Linked DNA regions of Caenorhabditis elegans. The protein of the gene in region 1 interacts with the protein of each later gene in a pairwise test. Each region holds a gene or a part of one and is shown on either strand. Other genes may lie near its edges. The genes, in order: ztf-26 and T22C8.4.

What was found.
Region 2: the proteins of ztf-26 (region 1) and T22C8.4 interact in a two-hybrid assay, tested with the Caenorhabditis elegans proteins (one large-scale study listed by BioGRID).

The regions. Positions count from the first base shown.
Region 1 is NC_003279.8:8,858,189-8,863,433, forward strand, and holds the start of ztf-26 (C2H2-type domain-containing protein), read right to left. Parts: upstream 3,091-5,245; 5' UTR 3,085-3,090; coding exon 2,928-3,084; intron 2,751-2,927; exon of another isoform or gene 2,648-2,750; coding exon 2,573-2,647; intron 2,332-2,572; coding exon 2,176-2,331; intron 1-2,175.
Region 2 is NC_003280.10:8,621,809-8,625,432, forward strand, and holds T22C8.4 (C2H2-type domain-containing protein), read right to left. Parts: upstream 1,689-3,624; 5' UTR 1,685-1,688; coding exon 1,411-1,684; intron 1,308-1,410; coding exon 1,096-1,307; intron 1,037-1,095; coding exon 848-1,036; intron 798-847; coding exon 747-797; 3' UTR 639-746; downstream 1-638. Other genes in the region: T22C8.3 (C2H2-type domain-containing protein), read right to left, coding at 22-166.

The DNA.
Region 1 (5,245 bases):
TTGAATCATTATACTTAGGATACTCAGCATATTTAGAAAATTAGTTTTTTTTTACATATGAACATGCTTTCAAATTAAATAAATTAAAATACATAAAAAATCTTATTAAATTTCCAAAAATCTATCATCTTCGGTAATTCTGTTTTTTTTTTCAAAAATTGATGAAAACTTGAAAACTACTGTAGAAAACGCCTGTATCCAATGAATTAATATTTTGAATTAATAAATAATAAAAAAAATAAATAATGAAACAATAATAATATAAAATTAGTAAAATGATGAATTTATTAGGAAAAATCAATGTCTTTTGGTCAGAATTCTGAGTAGGCACAATGAGCTCTGACAGGTGAAAATCCAAAAGAGCCCGTCGTCGCTAGGGAGCAGAATCTCCGCGGATCATTAAAGCCCGTCTCGAGTGGAAGATTTGTAGACGGACGATGAGAAGAATTGAAGTGTCTGAGATGCTCAATCTCCAGTTCTAAAATAGAGGAAGCTCTGGAGAGGATATAGATGGATGGATGGGGCCCGCCTGTGACGTGGCAACCGGATACACTTGTATGTGTCGTTGGTGTCCCTTGGGGATGTCTTTCTGTGCTCCTGGCTCTTCTTTTCTTCTTTTCTGCAAAAAGAGAGAGTCCGAAGAGAGTCCAGGGTCCTTAAAAGGGAGAAAGAAGAGGCAAATCTGTGCACATAGCAGGAGATCCAATGTCTTTTTAGAGACTGACACATGAATGTGAACACTTTTCTAAATGTGATGGGAAGGGAAGGGAAGAGAAAAATAAAATGAGGTACTTTAGTTGAAGAGCATATGAGATTTCAAGGATTACTGTAGTTTTGGATCTGAATTCTAGAAACTTTGAACATATATTTTGGAGTTGTGTTTTGAATAAAACAAACAACTAACAAATATCGCCTCCCATTTTTCGGGATGTCTCCAAAATTGGTATTTTAGGCAAAAAATTGAAATTTGCCCAGCCCAAAATGACTAGCCACGCCACCCACTTTTGAACCAATAAACGACATAGAACTTTCCACAATCCTTATGATTGGTTAAAGCGGATGATGCTATTCGCTGATTGGGCGTTCAGTTCTCATTTTGGAGCGAATTCAAATTGGAAACTAAAGAAAGGTGCTTTTCTTCTTCCACAAATTTTAACATATATCTTTTTTCGAATTTCTGTAGTTCAGACTATTTTTGGTATTATAAAGCAAAACCCCAATTCACACTACTTCAATTTTAAATTTATTACGAGTCTATATTATAACGTATGACGTCATAAGAATGCCAATCAATAATGGACATTTTTTCCTTTTTCAAAAAAAAAGAAGTCTGATTCTAAAAGTGACGTCACTGTTCCGATAAGCCTAGTAATATAAATTCAATTTCTAATTACATATAGCGAGTTTTTCTGTGTCTTTATGAATATTTCCTTATCCTGTAAATTGAAAACTACGAAAATGTTCCCGGCAGTACAATAGTTTGCAGAATACTCGCAATTTACTATCATCTAGAGGGTTTCCCTCTCAACCATGAGCTGAGCCATTAAGATCCAAAGTGTTGTAAACCTATTCTTCTCCCCCTATCACTTTTTCCAACATCCCCCACTCTCTCTCTCTCTCTCTCTCTTTCACAAAACTTCCCCCTTGCACCATCAATCATTTTCCTAGATCCTAGAATATCAAGAATAAGATGCCAGTGTTTCTGATTTGCATATGTAAGAAGTTTCACACGGCTTGGTACTGTAGCAGCCGAAAAAGTTTGAAGAATTTTTCGTATAAGAAAACACTTCCAGACAAAATTGTAAGTAATGCAATTATGGCAAAGGTGGAACTGTATTTATAAACATTGTAGATTCATATTCAAGCTGTTACCGGGTTCCAGAAAAATGTCGAATCATCGATTTTTTTAAATTATGACAATTATTAAAATTTTTCCGATCTTCAACATTTTTGGCGTTACATGAATTCAGTACTGACACAACGTTGTAAATTTACATATTTAGGCATGGGTATATTTACCCGTACAAGCACCAATTGGGTAGAATACCAATAAAAGGAAAGTTGTTGAAATTAATTAATATTATTATCGCCAAATTTTCAAAATTGTGTTTCTAATTTCATATTCCCTTCTTGATTCTTTTAACTGAATTTTCACATATATTCCAAATCACTCACATTTTCCAGTTTCATTAGCTCTTCGAACTTCCGCAAGACTCGCATCGATGTCTTTGATAAAATCACGAACTGGATAATCCTTATGATGATTTTTGATATGTACTCTTGCATTATCCCGTCGGGAATGAATTTTCAGACAATACGGACAGACACATGCTGAAAATTTACAAATGTTTTTTAAGCGCTTTACTGAACAAAATTGAAGCTGATTTTGAGCTGATTTTTGAAGAGTTTCAGAAACAACCTGCAAATAAGCTTTAACGAGAATCAAACTTTTCAAATTCCAAATTAAAATATTCGTTGGCTCCCCGAAGAATTTGCAGCACTTTTTTCAGTTAAGAAAACGATCAAACATTCTTACACATTTAACATGAAACAACTGCCGAGTTTTTTTTACCTCTAGCGAGATCTTCACTTGACAGTACCCAATTGATAATCTCTGATCTTGATCGACTTATGAAATCTTCTCTCGCTGAAATTATGACGACATTATATTCTTTTCAATTCTTGAAAATTTCGTATTGTGATATATTCTTCCCAAGAGGAATCCTCCAATGCACTATAGTTATTTCATCCTAAAAAAGCTTCAAAATCATCTTCCAAATGAAAAGTTCATATGCACTATTCTTTTTTGAAACAGCAAAGTCATGAGAAAATTTATTAGTCAGAGCCTAATTTCCGGTTACTTACGTGTTTAAATTGGACCAACAAGGAATTAGTTTCTGATTGTGAAAGAAAAATAATCAACTAACATCTTTTAAAAATCTTCTTTGAATCTTTTTGAATCTCTTCGCCAGGGGTATTTCTTAAATAAGGTCTTCCAAATCCTGAACTGATTCTAGCAATAAATTCCGGTGTCAATGGCCCAATGCCGTCATCATCAATGTGTGGAAAACCGTCAGAGGACATCTGAAAGTTTATAAAACATCCTAAACTTTGAACATTATTATTGTCGAGACGGAAAAATGTGTTCAAAATATTGTTTAAGTTTGAGAAACTTATAGTTAAGTTGAACCAACCAAATCCATAAATCGTAAAAATCGTAGAAAGTTTGTGCCCGCGTCTAAAGATTGGACTGTGCAATGTCCCCTCAGATTTTCTACATAGCGCTATCTAAATTTGATAAAATCGTGTGAAAATTGAGAATAAAGTTTTTTGAGTATGCTGATTATGAATATACAATTGTTTTCCGTGTCACAGTTTTTCGATCTTTGATGTATCAAAAATTAAGGGGATCTTGGACGTGCACACTGTACTTGAAATGTTGAAGGTATACGGTAGCATAGATCCTATCCTACTCTTTCAGAGAGTAAACGTCAAAGCCTTTGGTAAACAGAAAATCGAAAAAGTAACTGAATTATAAATCTTCTCTAATCAAAATTTCTTCAAATTTAGTTTTCCTAAACACCAAAAAACGGCTGTGCGGGGCAACCAGGGCAACCAAATAGGAAAAAATCAGGGGCGCAGAGAGAAGAGATGTGAATAAGGGAAAAAGAGGACTAAACCAAGTGGCAGCTATGACAGCCGAGTGTCTCTCTCTATTTCTCTCCATATCTTTTCCTACTTTTCACTAGAACGTCGCAAGACTCCGCCCATTTTGCCTGAACCCCTTGCACTTATTATCTAGGCATTGAGATATGTTTCTGATAAACGTTGTTGAATGGAAAATGAAAAGTACATAATGACTGAAATAATAAAGAAACTCTTGGCGAACTGATTTGAATTTCAATGTATTTCCCTGAAATGTTGAAGTGGCTTACTAGGGAACCGTCACAAGGTGCCTATTGGAGTTGCATATGAGACCTATGTCATTCGATAGCCCATGTCTTAAAACGGTTACTCGTAAATTTTTAGCTGCGAAACTCTAGAAACAAGCTCACGACGTGCTCTCAACGATCCTAAAATAGTACTATAGCAAGGCGAATTTTTCATTTTTCGTTCAAATAAAATAAAAAAAAGTTTCTTCAAAAACAATTAAATACCAATAAAATGTTGGTATATAATGTTTTTTCACAATTTTGAAGGTGAAACAATCATTTTTGCTGAAATTGGAACGAATTGTTGCTTGCACATGCTCTTACAGAGCACAACTTTGACAGCTCCAATCTTGTTGCACAAGGAAGATTTCAAAAAGCTATCAACTGCAAATCTATGAAGCACATTAAGAACAACATTTTGTTAGTTAAAAATTTGTTTTTATCTAAAAGAACTGGGGAACTAGAGCAGTTTTCGTTAAGTGCGCTTTCCCACTAAATTTTGATTGATTCCCACTCTGAAATTCTGAGAACACAAAATTTGCAACAAAATGGCTACGGGGATTTTCAAAAAAATTAGTTTGAAGCCAGATATTAATTTTCAAAGTTTGGAAAATGTACTAATTTTGCATATAAATGGTCAATTCCATTTAATCTCAAAATGTGCTCTAAAAGGTATGACTCAAAATTCCCTTTTTTGTCTTGAACTCGGCGGTTATTGAAGTTTTTAGAATACCATTTTCATGGCTAAAAAGCGAATGTGGTAAAAAAAATCACCGTCTAATTTTGGGTATAAAGTTAATTATCTAGCGTTTTCAACTCGATTTAGGTATTTTGAATTCTGTGGACGAAGAGATTTGGTGAAACGTTTTAAAACAAATTTTGAGTCTAATAAAGCAATAAAAAATTTGACTACAACACTCCTGTAATCCCAAATTATGCCCCAAAAGGTTAATGGTTTTTGTGTCGTTGTAAATTTGGGTAAGAGTTTGGTAAAAGTTGGGTCAAAGTTTGGTTACTTTTTGGCGCAACCGAATTCTACGTTCGATTGTTATATAGATTATTTAGGCGTAAATCCAAAAACTAAAATGATTTTTGTTTTCATTTCATGTCACCTTTTTTACCGATTTTTCTCATTGAGACCCGAAGAACTCGGGGGATGTCCAATTGGGGGGATTACCAACTCGGGGGATTGGCCCCGCCCACAGAACCGTGGCTTGCAATACGCCCATTTCTGCAACTGCCGCACGGTTTTAAAACTGTATTTTTCTCATTAGAGCGAGAAACAACAAGAAAAAATAATTTTAAAACTGTGC
Region 2 (3,624 bases), on another chromosome or scaffold:
CATACATTTTTAAAATCTCACTTTTATTTTTATTTGCCGGTTCGGAAATTGGGAGTCTTTTTGTTTGGTTTTGTATTTTATGAGCAATTTCCATGTTGCTATCTTGATCTAAATCAATAACAGGCTCTTTTTGCGTGGTATTAGCCAGTTGTTCGGTGGTTGCCATGACTGAAACAAAATTTTCAAAGTTTGTTGGTACATAGCTTTTCATGAAGAATCATCAATTTAAAATGTACATAAGACAAAGTATAAATGTAAGCATTTTTTCATAATTTTTGAGTATATAATCAGTCCTTGTGCTTTATTATAATTATCGATCGTCACTATGACAACCAACGAATAGAAATCGAGAAATTAAACAGATAATTTAGTTGGATGAGAGAAGAAAAAACTGATAAAAGCATGAGAGCTCAGCTGTGTGAGCTCAAATTTGCGGTGTTTGAAACATGTAGTTCAATAGAGCGAATTTGAAATGGACGGGTGGGGGGTCTTGTATGTGAGAGAGAAGAACGCGGTAGTCTCACTGGAAAAAATGTTTAGTAACACGAGAATATAGTTTGCTAAAGTTCCAAAATTATTTGCCCGATCCAAGCTATACTTTTAAGTTTGATGCTTCGAATTAATTTTCAAAAATAATTCCGTATGATGTTTATTAACGAGAAAAAATGTAGATTGAAATACCAGCTGTGGCAAAATGAACAAAGAATTGACAATTATGAAATTCCATAACGAATACAAATATCTAATCACTTCTCATCAAACAAATTGACATCGTCTAAGGCGTCCTCATCTTCTGACTAAAAAAATACTATTATCATAATGTTACGTATAACTGCAAATTACATACAAAAACGTCTGTGGGATATTTCGGGAGCATCACATCCAAATGAACATCAAGACTCATATCGAATCCAGTGACAAATGAATATCGATCCATTCTGTATGGCATTCCATTCAAAGTTGGCATTGGAAGAGACGGATTAACTGCAGCTTCTTGAAGTTGACGTAAGTAGTCCGGGTAAGCTTTGGCGAGCATCTGAAAAAAGTTTTCGAAATTCAAAATATAACACATTTTGCTTAAAAGTTTCAACTCACACTGCCTTGTTCCATTTCTTTCTGGCTCGGTTGACATTTGTTCATATGTTGCTTCAAGTTGTATTTATACTTGATTGGAGCATTGCACATTGGACAGTATACCTCTGGCTCATCTTTATGAGAATGGTCATGGCGTTTTTTCTTATCAGCATTTTTAAATAATGCAAAGCAGATATCACATTGGAGAGCTCGAATTTTCGGGTCTTCGCTTGCTGAAAACCTTTCGAGTTCAATTTTGGTAACAGTTAAGGTTTTGATTGTGGGATGATAAAGTGATTTACAGAATGTTGAGCATATTTATTTTGGTTAACTTACGAGCTCCAACAATTTTGTTCTTCTTTGCTGCAGCTGTTTCAGATTTCTTCTTCAAAGTCTCTTCTCGTTTCTTCAATCGAGCTTTTTCTTTCTGTTCCTTTTCCAATTTTTTCTTCATCGCGTCTTCCATTCTTTGTATCTTTGCTTCCGATGAAGTTGAAGATTTATCAATTCTTCGTCTTTTGGGAGCAACACCGGATAGCTTTGGTGAGTGATTTTCAATATCCATTTGATCACTACCAAATGAAGTTGATGTTGAATTGCTAGTATTCATATCTGAAAGAAAAACGGGAGTTTGATGCAAATGTCTCAAAATAAAGACATATTTTAAAGAAAATTTAAAAAAAGCTGTTGTGCAATGTGTTAAGAGTGATGTTGAGCAGATGACTATGACCACAACAAGTGAGCAAAAAGTAGAGGGAAACAAGAAAGAGAAGACTGTCATCTTTCCTTTCTTCTGGATATATGTTTATTGCGGTGCGATACTCTGCACGGTGCGAACAGATTGAGGAAATGACCTGACCTTTTTAACTAACAAAACACTTGCAACGACAGTGAAATAGTATTGGCAGACGGGAGAGAAATAGAGACAACAATAGAAATGGAACTGTTTTGAACAATTTGTAAAAATGATAGATTTGATAATTATAAACGATAATTATATAAATTGCAAGTTGCCTGTCTATGACAACATTATGACAAGCTAATAAGTTTAAAGAACAGATGAAGCAGTGCAATACTGAAAGGTACGCAACTGTCATAGAGGAAGCAAAATATGTACAGTAATTTTATGTTAAAATAAAATATTACAGCTTACAAAGTATAATACGATGTGCATAAAATCTTACGCCTGTCCGTGGCTGTTTACCGATTCTGTAAGTGACCATGAAGGATAGTTATACTGCACGACGGAAACTTCTCGGTTTTCTTGGTAGTACGGTAACGGATTAGCAACATCTGTTTCACTTTTCACCGTTGGAAGGATTTTCAGAGATTTGATGCAATTATTTTTAAATTCCGAGGAGTGCCCCAACATCGCTAGTGCAGAACATTTGCTAGCACCCACAGTTTAATAGTCATTCATTTAATAATCTTAAATACCGTCTGGCATGATAATCAATGCAAAGTATCAGTTTTTAGTTTGCTTTGAAAAAACCGTTCGTTGGCGAGATTTAGCGAGAAACGCTACTTTCACAAGATCCCCGCATCTAAGTCTGAAATTTGCCTGTCATTTCAGGTGCCATTCTCATTTTTTTCCCTCAAGACCTCCGCGATTCTAAAACTCTAAAAGTGCATCTTTTCATCTATCTCTCTTACTTTTTGCTGCCGAACGAAACAAAAAACGAGCATTTGTCACTTGGTTCTCGGGGTCGTCGTGTGCACGTCGTTAATCGTCCAGGTTCATTGGTTTTGAGGAGGTCGAATTGTCTTGAATGCATCAATATTCAATTTCACAAAGCAGAAATCTTCTTTGCTTTAGCAAAGAGTTACGAGATATTTGGGGCTCAAAAAAAGTATACCGTAACATTAAGATTTCTAAAAAAAATGGACGGTGGTTACTGTCGAATTTGCATCCACTGTAGATGAAAATTCCGCACTTCTTCTTGAACTGGATATTTTTTATGAGAAAACCTGATTCAATGCAAAATTGAGTTAGTTTCAATAATATAATTTTCTAAATGAAAAAAATTATTGTAGAAAAATGGATCAACTGGAAAAAACGGTATGCAATTCCCGTCCCCAGTTGCCACGAATCTCAGAGTAATTTATGCCCAACTGACAATTTACATTCAAGAAAATACAATTGCGAAGTGAAAAAATGTTTTTATTAACCATACAGTACCCCTTGAGAATTGACCCTTCAGAATTATCAACTTGTCACATCTATGCTCATAGTTTTTTTCTTTCTCAGAAGAACTCTTGAAATAATTTTCCAGAACTGTATCAATTTTCCTTGATTTTTCCTTCCTCTCATTTAACTGCTCCACCCTTTTTGTTCAGTTGTTCGATTCAAATCACACAACTCACCTCTTTTCAGGTTGCACAAGTACTCAATTGAGTGAGCTCTTATCAAAAAGGACACTGATTAATAACCCTAAAATGACGAGAGTCTGTGTGGACACTGCAGACGAAAAAGTGAAAAAGGTGATTACGGGGCACCGGTGCCTCTTTTATGATGCCGCCATCATTGGAGGAAGAGAGGAGGCTGATAAC